Linked DNA regions of Danio rerio. The protein of the gene in region 2 interacts with the protein of the main gene of each other region in a pairwise test. Links are inferred from orthologs where the notes say so. Each region holds a gene or a part of one and is shown on either strand. Other genes may lie near its edges. The genes, in order: acot8 and pex5.

What was found.
Region 1: the proteins of pex5 (region 2) and acot8 interact in binary tests that used the Homo sapiens proteins (3 or more experiments, as listed by UniProt). The link is inferred for Danio rerio from reciprocal best matches to the Homo sapiens genes PEX5 and ACOT8.

What each region holds. Positions count from the first base shown.
Region 1 is NC_133186.1:1,592,246-1,599,720, reverse strand, and holds acot8 (acyl-coenzyme A thioesterase 8), read right to left. Parts: upstream 5,124-7,475; 5' UTR 5,115-5,123; coding exon 4,981-5,114; intron 4,841-4,980; coding exon 4,704-4,840; exon of another isoform or gene 3,313-4,703; intron 2,901-3,312; exon of another isoform or gene 2,491-2,900; coding exon 2,265-2,490; intron 2,185-2,264; coding exon 2,027-2,184; intron 1,680-2,026; coding exon 1,488-1,679; intron 1,156-1,487; coding exon 1,040-1,155; 3' UTR 527-1,039; downstream 1-526. UniProt on the Homo sapiens protein: Catalyzes the hydrolysis of acyl-CoAs into free fatty acids and coenzyme A (CoASH), regulating their respective intracellular levels. Displays no strong substrate specificity with respect to the carboxylic acid moiety of Acyl-CoAs.
Region 2 is NC_133191.1:12,442,382-12,450,034, forward strand, and holds the start of pex5 (peroxisomal biogenesis factor 5), read right to left. Parts: upstream 5,038-7,653; 5' UTR 4,239-5,037; intron 2,699-4,238; 5' UTR 2,655-2,698; coding exon 2,541-2,654; intron 151-2,540; coding exon 112-150; intron 8-111; coding exon 1-7.

The DNA.
Region 1 (7,475 bases), on a different chromosome or scaffold from region 2:
GATAATAATATTAATTTTACTTGTAAGTCTCTTTAGATATAACAAAAACTTCTGCAAATATATATATATATATATATATATATATATATATATATATATATATATATATATATATATATATATATATATATATATATATGTATGTATGTATATATATATAAATAAATATATATATATATATATATATATATATATATATATATATATATATATATATATATATTTTATTTTATATAAAATATATTTTATATATATATATATATATATATATATATATATATATATATATATATATATATATATATATATATATATATATATATATATATATATATATATATATATATATTGTGGTTTTCATTAATTTCAATTGTCCTAAATAAAAACACTGATACTTTTGCAGAAGTTTTTGTTTGTTTATATATATATATATTTAATTTTTTTATTGTATATAAAATATATTATATATATATATTTTTTTTTTATATACATATATATCAGAAAAACAAAACAACACAATGTCAGAGTTTTTTAGTCTTGTTTAACACATCCACAGATTCCAGTGTTACTTAATAAATTATAAATAAAGTGCCTGCTTATAAAGTGGACCACTTATACAATTTGCAATATTACAGTCAAGTTTTTTTGTTGGACAGAACTTCAACTGCAATTACACTACAGCACCAGCAAACATAATTATATTAAATACGTCATTTGTATTTATATGTATTTACCAACATGAACTAAGAATGAACAATACCCATACAGCATTTATTAATCACAGTTCAACATCTACTAATGCATTATTAGGATCCACAGCTGTGCTTCTTAACATTAGTTAATGCATTAAGAGCTAACAGGAACTAATAATAAATAGCTGTATTTTCATGATCAAAGGTTAACAAACACTGTGATAAATATTGCATATTGTTCATTGTTTGTTCATATTAGTAATGTATACATTAATTAGCATTAACTAGTCAGTCTGGCACCTATTGTAAGGCATCTCAGGGTATAGTAGATGTATATTAGTATTCCTCTATAATTTACTCTGCGACACCTCCTTGACTCGTATCACTCCCTCTTGTGCGCAGGAAGCTGCCAGAACTCCATCCTGTCTCCACAAGCGGCCCTGGACGAAGCCTCTGCTGCCTCCTGAAAACAAATACAGACACTTGCAGATTAACCCTTGTGTGCTGTTTGTTGTTTTTATCCACTCTGTGGTGATTTTGAGTCTTAATTTGGCCACAACGTCCTTTGTGTTTCAGCAAATGGAATGATTTTTGGTAACAGATCTTTTTTTTATTGCATATTTTGGGAAAAAAAACTGTTGTTGTTGTTTACCCAGACATTTAAAAAGAATATATTTTAAAGCAGTAATCGCAATACTGTCATATATTTATGCAGGTTTATCCTACCGTTAGAATCTTACATCAACTCATGCCTAGTCCAGAAATGAGCAATAATGCAGAGAAGCGTCTGCTGACCTGACCAGGGGCTTTCACACTCGTACAGCATCCACTCGTCTGCTCTGAACGTGCTGTGAAACCACATGGCGTGATCCAGAGAGGCTGAGAACTGCGACCTGTAGTTTGGGTACGGTAACAGCGCCGTCCCCAGGAAAGCGTAGTCGGACACATACGCTGCCACACAGCGGTGCAGTTTCATATCGCCAGGTCCTACAACAAAAGCAAGAAGGTCGCTGGTTCGAACCTCGACTGGGTCAGTTGGCATTTCTGTGTGGAGTTTGCATGTTCTCCCCGAGTTGGCGTGGGTTTCCTCCGGGTGCTCCGGTTTCCCCAACCGTCCAAACACATGTGCTATAGGGAGATTGATGAAGTAAATTGGCAGTAGTGTATGAGTGTGTGTGTGTGAATGAGTGTGTATGGGTGTTTCCTAGTACTGGGAGGGCATCCGCTGCTTGAAACATATGTTGCATAAGTTGGCGGTTCATTCCGCTGTGGCGACCTATGAAATAGAGACTAAGCTGAAGGAAAATGAATGAATAAAATGGTGCATGTTTTACCTATATATCCTCTGGCTCGCACCCAGATCAGTGTTTTTGCCTCCATAGCAACACGTCTGAAGAAATCCGGTGGATTGACTGGCTTGATCTCTATCGGAACTTCATCAGCTCGTATTTTATTCAGACCCTGCCGAGTGTTGTCTGCCAGATCCGGTTTACTGTAAAACAAACCAAACACAAGGATGAGTGTGACATGCAGTGGTTTAATAATCAGTCAGTTTTTAATCCTGAGGGTGACCTGAGGAAGCGCTGTATGAGCTCCTCCACGGTCAGCAGAGTGTCTGGCGGAGGGACGCTGGGCATGCTGAACTGGTGCTCCAGAGGACTGGGCTGCTGCATGTGAAACGATGCCTGGAGGATGAGAATGGGCTGACCGTGCTGGATGGCCTTCACAGATCGCACACAGAAACTGCGGCCGTCGCGCGTCCTCTCCACCTGGTACAGCACCGGCACCTTCGGGTCCCCTGGAAAATATACAGGTGAAGTCAAAATTATTCGCTCTTGTGTGAATTTTTAAAAATATTTCCTCAAATGATGTTGAGCAGATTCAGGAATTTCTCACAGTATTTCTTATAATGTTTGTTCTTCTGGTGAAAGGCTTATTTGTTTTATTTGGGCTAGAATAAAAGCAGTTTTTAACTGTTTTAAAGCCTTTTTAAGGTCAATATTATTAACCCCTTAAGCAATATTAGTTTTGGATTGTCTCCAGAACAAACCACTGTTATACAATAACTTGCCTAATTACCCTAACCTGCCTAGTAACCTAAAGGAAGTTTATTTATAAACTAATTTTGAGAGGATCATGTGCTTAGGATTTATCACAGCCGGTCTCGCATTAGCTAATCATGATCTTCCAATCATATGATTTATAACCCTACTGAAAAAACCAGCTTAAACCAGCCTAGGCTGGTTGGCTGGTTTTAGCTGGTTGACCAGGCTGGTTTTAGAGGGTTTTTGGCCACTTCCAGGCTGGTTTCCAGCCATTTCCAGCCTGGTCTTAGCTGGTCAGGCTGGGAGATGACCAGCTAAAACCAGCTTGACCAGCCTAGCCAGGCTGGGAGTCCAGCCAAAACCAGCTATGTCCAGCTTAAACCAGGCTGGTCAAGCTGGTTTTAGCTGGATTTAGCTGGTCAGTTTCCAGCCTGACCAGCTAAGACCAGGCTGGAAATGGCTGGAAACCAGCCTGGAAATGGCCAAAACCCCTCTAAAACCAGGCTGGTCAACCAGCTAAAACCAGCCAACCAGCCTAGGCTGGTTTAAGCTGGATTTTTCTGCAGGGAAGTTACTATAAATAACGACAGTCTTTTGTGGATCCGTCAGCGCCGCTCAAGAGGCGTTGCTCGCTGCAGAAGTTGGGACTAGCTCAACTTTTCAAGCGCCGACGGAAGCGTCAGCCAATCAGATCGCTGTATGCAAATACACCAGCTAGACAGTGGCTGCGTCCGAAACCGCCTACTACTCAGTAGGTGCTGCATTTGAATTTAAACGTACTGCTCGGCCGTTAGAAAAGTACGTTGTATACAGTATGAACGTGAAAAGTATGAATGGAATTCGGACGCACTACATCCGCCATTTTGTCACGGTCACGTGACCTGCCTGCGTCAATTGCGTCGCTTACTCCCATTCAGGTATTCGCTCGCGGGGCATCATGGGATAGCGCAGCATGCATGGGATGAGCACTCTAGAATCTCGCCGGAAGTAGTAAGTCATCCGGGTACTTCTCGCATACTGTTTTTCGAATTCTATGAATTCGGACATACTACTCGGCTCGCATACTGATTTTAGCGTACTATATAGTATGGAAGTATGCGGTTTCGGACGCAGCCAGTGGCCTATTTTTGACTGAATTTCATTGGCTGACGCTTCTATTACGATCGTTTCATCCCCAACTTCAGACACGCCTTCAGTCAAGCGTTGACGCTGAAGCCCCGTGTGAATGGGGCGTTACACTTCCGCGCGCTTTTTCTGTTGTTCTGCAAGAACACTTCTGAAACGCTAGATGGCAGTGAGGTGATTATGTTATGTCGAGTTTCTTCACTGGTGTTTTGTTTTTTCTGAATGCTACCTTAATGTCCAAGTGGCTCAAACTCGCTCATTTTGAGGCAGGAACGAGGGGATGTGCAACAACTTTAATCATGAGGTAAACACAAAACAAAACTTTCCATCCGGAGCTCCCTCACGGGACTTCACACTTGTAAGTAATCGCTCCATCTGGCTCGCGCGGCTCTCAGTCCCACCATGACTCGTCAGCGCTACCATGCCGACTAATAACAGAGCTTGCGCCATGTAGTTAAATTTTTTTAGAGGTGCGCGTCAGCCACGCCAACGGCCACGGCGTAGGGCTATGCGTCAACATGTAGGCTGCGCCATAGCATACGAGTGCGCTTGACGCAGAAGTATAAATCAGCCTTTAGCCCCACAGCAAGAACACTGCCGGCCCAATTCACATGTACCTGTCTTTGGACTGGGGAAACCGGAGAACCCGGAGGAAACCCACGCGAATGCAGGGAGAACATGCAAACTCCACACAGAAACACCAACTGTCCCAGCCGAGGCTCGAACCAGCGACCTTTTTGCTGTGAGGGGACAGCACAACCTACTGCGCCATTGTTTCACCTTATAAAAGCAACTTTACCTCAAAATGCCTTAGGTGTCTTAGAAATAAACACAACATCACCTGCTCTGACAAAGTAGCAGTGCAGTGAATGAGCATAGAGGTGTTCAGCAACTGAGTTGGCTGCAGCTACGAGAGCCTGTCCCACAATCTGGCCCCCGAAGAGCCGCTTAGTGCGGGGGACCCAGTGGTGTGTCCCTCTACAGACAAAACACACGCTTTTAGTTAGTTTAATATAATGTACATGCAAAAAATATATTACTGACTCAATACAAAATGGTTATATAGACAGCAAATCTAGCAAACACGTGTACGTATTATAAAAAAATAATTTGTTTACCTGTACAGGTCGGTGTCGAGCTTCTCTAAATTTAACACACTTGTAACCAGGACACTTCTGAGGTCAGGTTCACTTGATTTAGACACACGGTTTACTTCATTACCAACCGGAGATTCACTACCGCGTTCAGCCATGTTTACTGTACTGTGCTAAAGGCGAATCTTTCGAATCGATTCCCAATGATTCATTTATGATGTTCGCGGAAGTACTCCATTGGTGGACTGTTACATGATTTATTTGTTGTAATACAATATCCGTTGGTAAATATTGTAAGTTGTTGTTAAATTGATGTATATAAATGATAAGTATTAGAGTCATTATGGGATAAATAATCGTTTTGAGTCATCAAATCAATGGAATCTTGATTCACTGATTCGAACTTTAGGACTCAGCGCACTTGAGGACCTCTACTGGTGAGCAGGCAGCTGGAAAATAGCTTTATCGTTGTTGTGTTATGGGAAAACGTACTCTTTTGCTTTACTATCTATCCTAACCAAGACAATTAGATTTATTTAATTAATTTGATTGTTCTGTTTACCAAATTTTACATTCATAATAGCAAATTCACTAACAGGAAACCTAATTGTATGGTTTTGTTGATTGAATTATGCTTACATATTACCAGTATGAGAGACTTTTAAACAAGAAAGTCTTAAAAACTTAAAAAATGTGTATAATTATAATGTATTTAATTAACGTTTATATTTATACACTTTGTTTATATTTTGTTTATACTTACCTCCCCTTGGCATCTACTTTAAATGTCTGTAAAATGTTATATGCTATTGTTTTTAAATAGAAATAAATGAAAAATAGCTATACAATATTCTTACCATCACATTTTGCTCTCTGAATGCAACTAAATAACCCATTTATTGCATGTGTACAGTGTTATCTGAAGAGAGTAATGTTACTTTTATTTCATTAAGTGTAATGTAAAGCTGGACTGGTTTACTTTTGCTCGAGTATGTTTTTGGCCAGACACTAAATTTGCATTCAGTATATCTGCACTTGAGAATAATCTTTGAGTATTTTTACCCCCTGCTTTTTTATCTCAATGCATTCTTGCTGAATAAAATTAAATCCTTAAAACAACAACTACAACTACTACTATAAATTACTCCACTTTTTTTTAAATGCAACATTATGGTTTCCACCAAACAACAATAAGCAGCAAAACCATTTTAACAATTAAATTAATATGATTTTATTTGGATTATCAGTTTTGCATATAGGTTTTTGGAGGATCATATTTGAAGTAATGATGCTAAAAAAATTATTCCAATCATTGGATTAATTTACAATTTAGACTGCTATACATACACAGAGACAAACATAGTTGTTTTAATTGTGAAATATTTTACATTATATTGTTTTTTGTTGTTGTTTGTTTGTTTTGTTTTACGCAATAAAAGCTAAGTTTTTGAGCAGAAATTAGCAGACTTAAAATAGATAATAACTCTATAATATTTGTTTAATATCAGAATATAGACTACTTGTCAGAATCAGTGTTGTATTTCAATGTTTGGTAAAATGTGCAGCTGCACTACCACAAAGAGCCCGCTAGAGGGAATCCCAGGCCAAGCATTCTGTACCTGTACGTTCACAGAGAAACCACTGTAATTAACGCTGCTGAATGCCTGTTAAATAATAAATAATTGCACTGATATAATTAACATCAACACACATCTAGCACAAATAAGACCATAAAAGGTAAAAAAAACAACAACATTAAAATATTGTGCATTGTTTAAATACCAACAATGCACAATATAAAATACCAGTTACAATCTTTAATAATAATAATAATAAGTAGAATCACCATCATCATCATCATCATCATCAACATCATCATCATCATCATCTTCATCATCATCATCATCATCATCATCATCATCATCATCATCATCATCATCATCTTCATCATCATCGTCATCATCATCATCATCATCATCATCTTCATAAATACTAATAATAATTATTATTATTATTATTAATAATAATCTTAAATAATAGTAACAATAAGAATAATAATAATATTTATAATTATCAATAATAAGAACAATAATATTAAATAATAATACTTATAATAATAATTATCATTATTATAAAACTAAAGTGAGTGAACGAAGTGAAGTGAAGAGAAGCATTTTTAGGTGACGATTATATGACATATGACAATTATCAATGCACATCGACCTTGTATAAAACCACAAACAATGACAAAATATTGACATTTCTAAAGCATAATTTAAATGGATAAATGCATAGGATCAATATTTTTATAAAAGTTTCATAATAATAATATTAGCAGGCTAATAATAATAATATTAATAACAATAAAACTAATATTAATATGCTAGAAATAATAATAATAATAAAAACAACAAAAATAGGCTAGAAATAATAATAATAATAATAATAATATTAATAATAACATAAATAAATAAATAAATAAATGAAAAAATATACTAATAATAATAATAACAACAATA
Region 2 (7,653 bases):
TGACCAGCTGCATTCAAAAAAGAAAACAACAGGACAGGTTGTAAGAACATGATCACAGACTATATGAGCTTATACAAGCTGATCAAGTCATTTAAAACAGATTATACAAACCTCTTCTTCAGTGGCTATTTCAATGGGAGTAGGAGGAATCTATGGGGAAAAAGGGAAAAATCCTAATCAATAATATTTTCAAGATTGCAATTAACAATTACTTAAACAATTAATCTACTGAAAAAGGATTAGATTAATCAAGTGGCTATTTTTGAATGCATATTTGGAATATTTTCTCATTGGTTGATTAATTCTTTAATTCACTTTCTAATAAATAATAATCGCAACTACTACTATTAATAAACAATACAAAAAAATGCAATACTATTAATAAAGGTTTATTTAAACAGCAGGTCTACAGACCTTGCATTTGAGAGAATGTTGTTGAATGTGAATAAAATGTATATGTAAAAATAACAAAACAAATGTAAGTCCAAACTTTTGGTTATGGGATTTGAGATTTTTGAGAAATTCTCAAAAATTAAGTCTCTCTTTTTATGAATTCCCTGCATTTTAATATATTTGTGTCAAAGATGCTTTATTTATGTTTCATTGCCATATCAGCAACATTGGCTATATTCATGACAAGACCTATACTAAATATACAACAATAACTTTTTAAACATTGCCCTTAAAATATTTCCAGTAACACTTTATAATAACTACACACTATGAATCATTTTTTAAATACAAAAAAATATCCAGTAAAATATTATTTACTGTCATCATGGCAAAGATAAAATAAATCAGTTATTAGAGATGAGTTATTAAAACTATTATGCTTAAAAATGTGTTGCAAAAATCTGCCCTCTGTCAAACAGAAAATGGGAAAAAAATAAACATGCGGTCTAAATATTCAGGGGGTCTAATAATTCTCACTTCAACTGTATATATATATATATATATATATATATATATATATATATATATATATATATATATATATATATATATATATATATTAGGCATGCCACAGTTCTCAATAAAATATTGAACCTTACGGTACGACCTCCACGGTTCAATACGCGCTTGTGAATTGCGGTTTTCTCGGTTTTGCATTTATTTCAAATATATATATATATATATATATATATATATATATATATATATATATATATATATATATATATATATATATATATATACATATATCAAATTGCATCACAATTTGTAAATAATGCAATACTAAATTTAGTAATAAACGATTAAAATGGGCGACGCAGTGGCACAGTATGTAGTGCTGGTGTCTCACAGCAAGAAGGTCACTGGGTCGCTGGTTCGGGTCAGTTGGCGTTTCTGTGTGGAGTTTGCATGTTCTCCCTGCGTTCGCATGGGTTTCCTCCGGGTGCTCCGGTTTCCCCCACAGTCCAAAGACATGCGGTACAGGTGAATTGGGTAGGCTAATTTGTCCATAGTGTATTAGTGTGTGTTAATGATTGTGTGTGGATGTTTCCCTGAAAGGGTATCCGCTGCGTAAAAACCTGCTGGATAAGTTGGCGGTTCATTCCGCTGTGGCGACCCCGGATTAATAAAGGGACTAAGCCGAAGAGAAAATGAATAAATGAATGAATGAATGAATGAACAATTAAAATGTAATTAAGTATGAAAACACAATCATTGAGCACATTTTAAATGCGCTTATAAGTCAAGAATACAGCATTTGTAGTTGAATTTATAAACTGCTTACTAACGTCTATTTAGAGTTAATACTTAACATATAAAGAATTAACTATTTGCTAATGCTTAATAGATGATTCATAGTGTGTAGTTATTATAAAGTGTTACCATATATCCTTACACAAGTCACAGGTGTTCCCCTTTCAATAAATATGAGTGTGTACGCCTTGAGTAGCTGATTCTACATCTCAGATGTACACCCTGATTATGTCTGTTTTCAAAATGGTAATCATTTCCTTAATTTACAAATGGATTCACTTCATACAATATTTTGTGTTAAAGATATGTTGGTGATTCTATTTTCCCTAAGTGTTTACTTCAGAATTTCATATAACTTTAACAAAAATAAAATGTCAACCTAAGTGAAATAATATTCCATCAATCAACAAAACAGATATATTTATGCAAAATAAAAAAAAATAATTTACACCTGTACTTTAAAAAATACATTAAAAAAAAAGAATAAGAGTGATCATACTTAATGTTCTTTAAAATGATTCAAAACTGCTAACAAATAGGTATAGTGGCAAAGCATAAAGACTTAAAAGGAGATCTGACTAACATTTTGGAGCTGCACTGTGATGCTTAAATATGCCTGACAAGCTTATTTTGTTATATAAACTACTATCTTGCATAAATCAGGCTAAAATGATTCTCATTCCAATGAATGAGCTTAAGCTTTTGATGCTTGAAAACACCTTTTTATCTCTGATCCATTTACATAACCAATGTCACCAAATATATCAGCACATCGTTTGGTCTCAGCCCTTAACATGTAGTCATGATTACAAAAATAAGGTTTTGTAACTTACAGTGGGCGTTGATCGATGTCTCCAAGCCCCGCCCTCTTGGGTCATGTGACCAGTCAGTTTCATGAGGGGATTGGCTCCCCCACATTCCGCCTCCACTAACTCCCGCATCGCCATGGCAACACACCCTCAGGCTGGATCAAACTAGCACCTTAAGATATCTATAAGTAAATGAAACATCATCACTGAGTGGTATGGAAGTAGTTAAAAATGTGACATTAAAAGTTTCGAACAGTAGTCTGGGACCTTTTTAAATCTTTTTACCAATCCCAAACCATTGGGATAATGGCATTCTGGAATATTTTCATGTTTCACACTGCACTTAATTTACCCAGGGTTAACAAATAGTCCTGAATATGAAGGAGCAGCCTAAATCTTTAAACTGGGTCAATGTTCTTCTTCATTTTATTACAAAAACACAGCATACAACCAGTTGAAATAAATGCTCTACCATCCTCATATTATATACTGCTGACTGCAACTCTCTCTATCCTGAGTGGACTTTTCATGAAACTGTCTCCTATATTTACTGCAACTCTTGCATTTGCATCACTATTTGACTTCACTATCAGTGTAAAATAACGTGTTGCTCAAGTTGCAGTGTAAATCATCCTTTGGCCTGGAGTTAAACAAGGTGTTTAGAAAAGATGATAACCAAGGAGTATTAAGCAGACTATTTTATGTCTAAAGTCCAAATCCCAATTTATTAACATTAATAAATAATTATTTTAACAGCTCAATATTTTTTCTCCTTTTACAAATTTACTAAGTGAATGACAGTTTTCTAGCCTGAAGGATAACCACATTACAGTGCCTAATGTAAAACAATGGCTTTGTGTTGACATGAGGTAAAAAAAGACCCGTGACCAATTTAACACAAGAAAAAAATAAATGTTTTTTTTTTTAATGTTTATATATATGTTGGGATCAAATGTTGGGATCATTATTTATATATATATATATATATATATATATATATATATATATATATATATATATATATATATATATATAAAATGATCCCAACATTTGAAAAAGTAACCATTTTCTATTATTTTTGTTACACTATAGGATACAAAGTAAGGATTATGGGGTCAAATTTGATCAGCTAGCTATAACACACACACACACAGACACAGACACAGACACACACACACACACACACACACACACACACACACACACAAACCTTAGAAAATATAAACCTTTACTTGAATATTATACAACGATTTAAATAGTCTGTTAAATAAAACACTGACGATGGAAAACCGAGATATTCAGAGTTTTTGATGGATCATGAGGTTGCTTCTTCATGCAAAACAGATGTGCAGACCGAAAATAAATTAGTTGTTTCGTTTTGGAGGTTTAGTGAAGGTGTATCCCTTCTTACCCTTGAGACAAACAGATTATACAGAATACTAATACCACACAAGAGGTAATATATATTGCAGTAAAGTTTTTTTATTGTTATTAAGTATAACAAACACTTTATAAACAATTTTACATCATTTTTACAGGCTGTTCTAGAGAAATGCAGAGTGCATCTATGGGTCCTGGTCCTCTACAGATGAAAACCACTAACCTGTAACCCAAAGGTTGCAGAAAATCTATAACAATTCATAACAGTTACTGTAAACAGTTTAATCTCAGCAGGTGATTTGTTTGTATGAATATCTGCCTTTAAGTCCTATGTCACCTTACCTGGCATGAAATAAAACAGACACAATGAATCATCAGCTTGAGATAAATCCAGCGGACTGAGCCACCTTTCCACTGGCATAAACATATGCTCCATCAGCTTATCCAGACTAGAAGGATTACACAGATTTCATTGTTCCTGAAAACAGCTATTAACAATTAACCAAGACTGCATGTGAACGACCAACTTACTGTCCTTATGCAATAATCCCAAAACAACCTGCTGGCCAGAATTGATGGACAAAATTTAATTAGTGAATCTAGCAAGAGAGTTTGGGTTATGAACGGGCACCGGTTGAATGGTCATCGGGTCATTGATAACATACAGTGGATACAGTCAGACTAGACACTTTTGCACTGATCTGCTGTCAGTTTTGCTTCAGCACAGAAACATTAGTGAGTGTGATGAGTCTCCTCTAACGGCAGTCAACGTTATCCACAACTATTCGCAGTCGTGTTTGCGTAGCGTTAGTATTGAATGGTTAAGGATAAAGCTGATAGCTCAACTGCAGACAGTTAGCTTACAAGCTAAATAAACTCCACTCACCTGCACAGGCGACGTTGTCACCTCTTTTTCTTCTCTTTCGCCTTTTATCCCGTGAGTAATGCGGTTAAAACAAAGACCAAACCCGACCGAGGAAAGCAGGCCCTAAAGACACGGCAGCGGTGGACGGTCCTCTAGTTGTCGGGGTCTGACGGCTAAAAATGCTGCGCTGGTGACCGTCCTGTCTTTATTTACCTTCCCCGTGTGGCCCAGTGAAACAGGAGCGAACCAGCCACACGAACCTACACGCTACGCTCCGGCTATTCACAAACGCCATTTGCGTAAAGAGCGACGGCAGGCGCTTTGAGCTACGCCAAGCGTCACGACGGATGTAGGCAGGTTTACGCTGAAGTTACGTAAAATTCCTAAAGTGACAGCGCATGTCTTAATGACAGGATGGTATCCTTTTGTTATCATCCAGGAAATGTGCTTTTAAATGGTTTTGTACAGTATTTTAAATGAATTCCTTTTTGTGCATTACTTGTTTTTTTAGATAAAGTTGTGTATTATTTTAATAATATGCTTGTTTATTTGAATTAGTTTATCAATAAACGGCTACAACGTTGTAGAAAAACACTCAGGTCAATCTACCCTGAAAAAAAGATGTGCAAACAATTTATATGTGGTGAATTTAAAAAAATCAAATTTTATTTATTAATGGTCAACTTAACTTGTTTGTTTAAATGTGAACCAAATAAATTGTTTACAACCACTTAACTTAAAAAATTTTGTAAATCCAAGGAATTATTTTAATTTTTTTTTCAGTGTAGGGCACTTAAACTTTATTAGTGTGTAAACAAAACACCAAAAAGTGAGAAAATAAATGACTTAGATATAGTTTAAATATATTATGGTTCAAATGTCTGTATAAGGATGGCAGACAAACACTAAATATAATATCTAATATTAGCTGATCTATTGATTTGTTTGTTATTTATGCTGACGTCGCTCTGCTAAAGTAAAGGTAACCTCCTGGTTGATGTTAGACAATGATATTATGTGATGTTTATTCTTAAAGTTTGTGACTGCAGCTAATTTACTGTATGTGAAAACAACAAAGATGTCTTGTTTTTAATTTATTAAACACATCATACTCTTCGAGGACTCTAATTTTGATGTTTTTTACCATATAATAATAGCATTTAGTTCCAATGTTTTTTTTTTTTTTTAATATAAATTATAAATAATTTCAGAGCACTTTAAGACTTAAACCACAGTATTCATTAATTTATTTTTCTTGGGCTTAGTCCCTTTTTTTATCAGGGGTCACCACAGCGTAATGAACCACCAACTATTCTGCCATATGTTTTATGCAGCGGATCCCCTTCCAGCCATAACCCAGACAAACCTCAGTATATTTGCTTCAATTATGCAGAATTATCTTATATGTTTTATTCATGCATTCATTTTCTTTCGGCTTAGTGCCTTTATCAAAGGTCGCCACAGCGGAATGAACCGCCAACTTATCCAGCATATGTTTTACACAACAAATGCCCTTTTAGCTGCAACCCAATACTGGGAAACATCCATACACACTCATTCACACACACATCAGGCCCATAGCCGGGGGGGTTTGGGTGGTTCGAAAGACCCACCCTCCACTGACAAAGGTGCAGAATTTGTCCCATACATGAGCTCATTTGACATATTTTGACTGCTTTTCCATCACAAATATTGAAAATAACCCATCGAAAAAGGCTTTAAGACCAAACAGAATCCTCTGCTGGCTGTCGTCACTTCAGCTTATCAGTTTTGATCAATGCAAACAATTGTTTTTCATGAGTCCAACATCTAGCTGTGCCACAATCTGAAGAAAGTTAAGTCATCTTACACTACTGACTGACTGTACTGTTGTTAAATACAGAAAACATTTTACAAGTAACTTTTATTCCAAATCTTGGACCTTATTGGTGAAACAAAAAATTATCAATAAAAAGGTGTAAAGCATCAAAGGTGGTCAATATTAAAGTTAGGGTTAATTTTAATAATAATCAGACTATTGCTATCCATTAATTTTCAATTGAACTTTTTTACAAAAGAAAAATGTAGAAAAAAATGTTAAGCTTTATTTATTTGTTTATTCAAACTGAGTAAAATTGAATGTAGTGGCCAGAATGTTATTTGGTTAATAAATAACAAAAAGTTACAGTTTTTTATTAAATACATCTCGCTAACACAATTGTTTTTGTTATGTTTTTTTTTTTACAAATTTGTAAGGAAATGTTTTGGTACATCAAAAAGTTTGGTTCTGATGACCATTCGACAAGCTAATTAAACAAAAAAGTGCTTAAAGGGCCATGAAACCCTTCTGTTTCGGCAGGGTTTTTTACACCTCTACTTTGGAAAAAGTCAGGAAAGTGGGCGTGTCCAGCTCTGTTTAGGGGAGTGTCGGAGGAGAGAAAAAGGCATGGTCCGTAAAAATTTGCACAAAAATGGGAGTGTCGGTTTGGGCACGTGCTGATTTTCACACAGGCAAAACAAACACACAAACGCAGAGTAGAAAGACAGTGACTATGTTTATCAGTAATCAAATTATTTGCCAAATTATTAAATAGTGGACTTTAACTGCAGTTTGGCTCTTTCATTCAGGAATTTCATTCATGCCCCTCATGACAAATGAGGAATTGCTGGAAGCGTGTATGTTTCATGCAATGTTTGTTACAGCATGACGAATAAGAGAAAAAAACCCCTCTCTGAAACTTAGGTGCACTCTGTAGGTAGCGTCAGAAAGCCGTGTGTGTTATTCCTGTCACAAAATGCAGCAAAAATCCTCCATGACGGTAACCTTGGTTGTGGTGCTTGCACGTTTACACTCGGGAGAGCAGCATTTACAGCAGATTTTTCAGTCCATAATATTGTAGTGATATTAACATA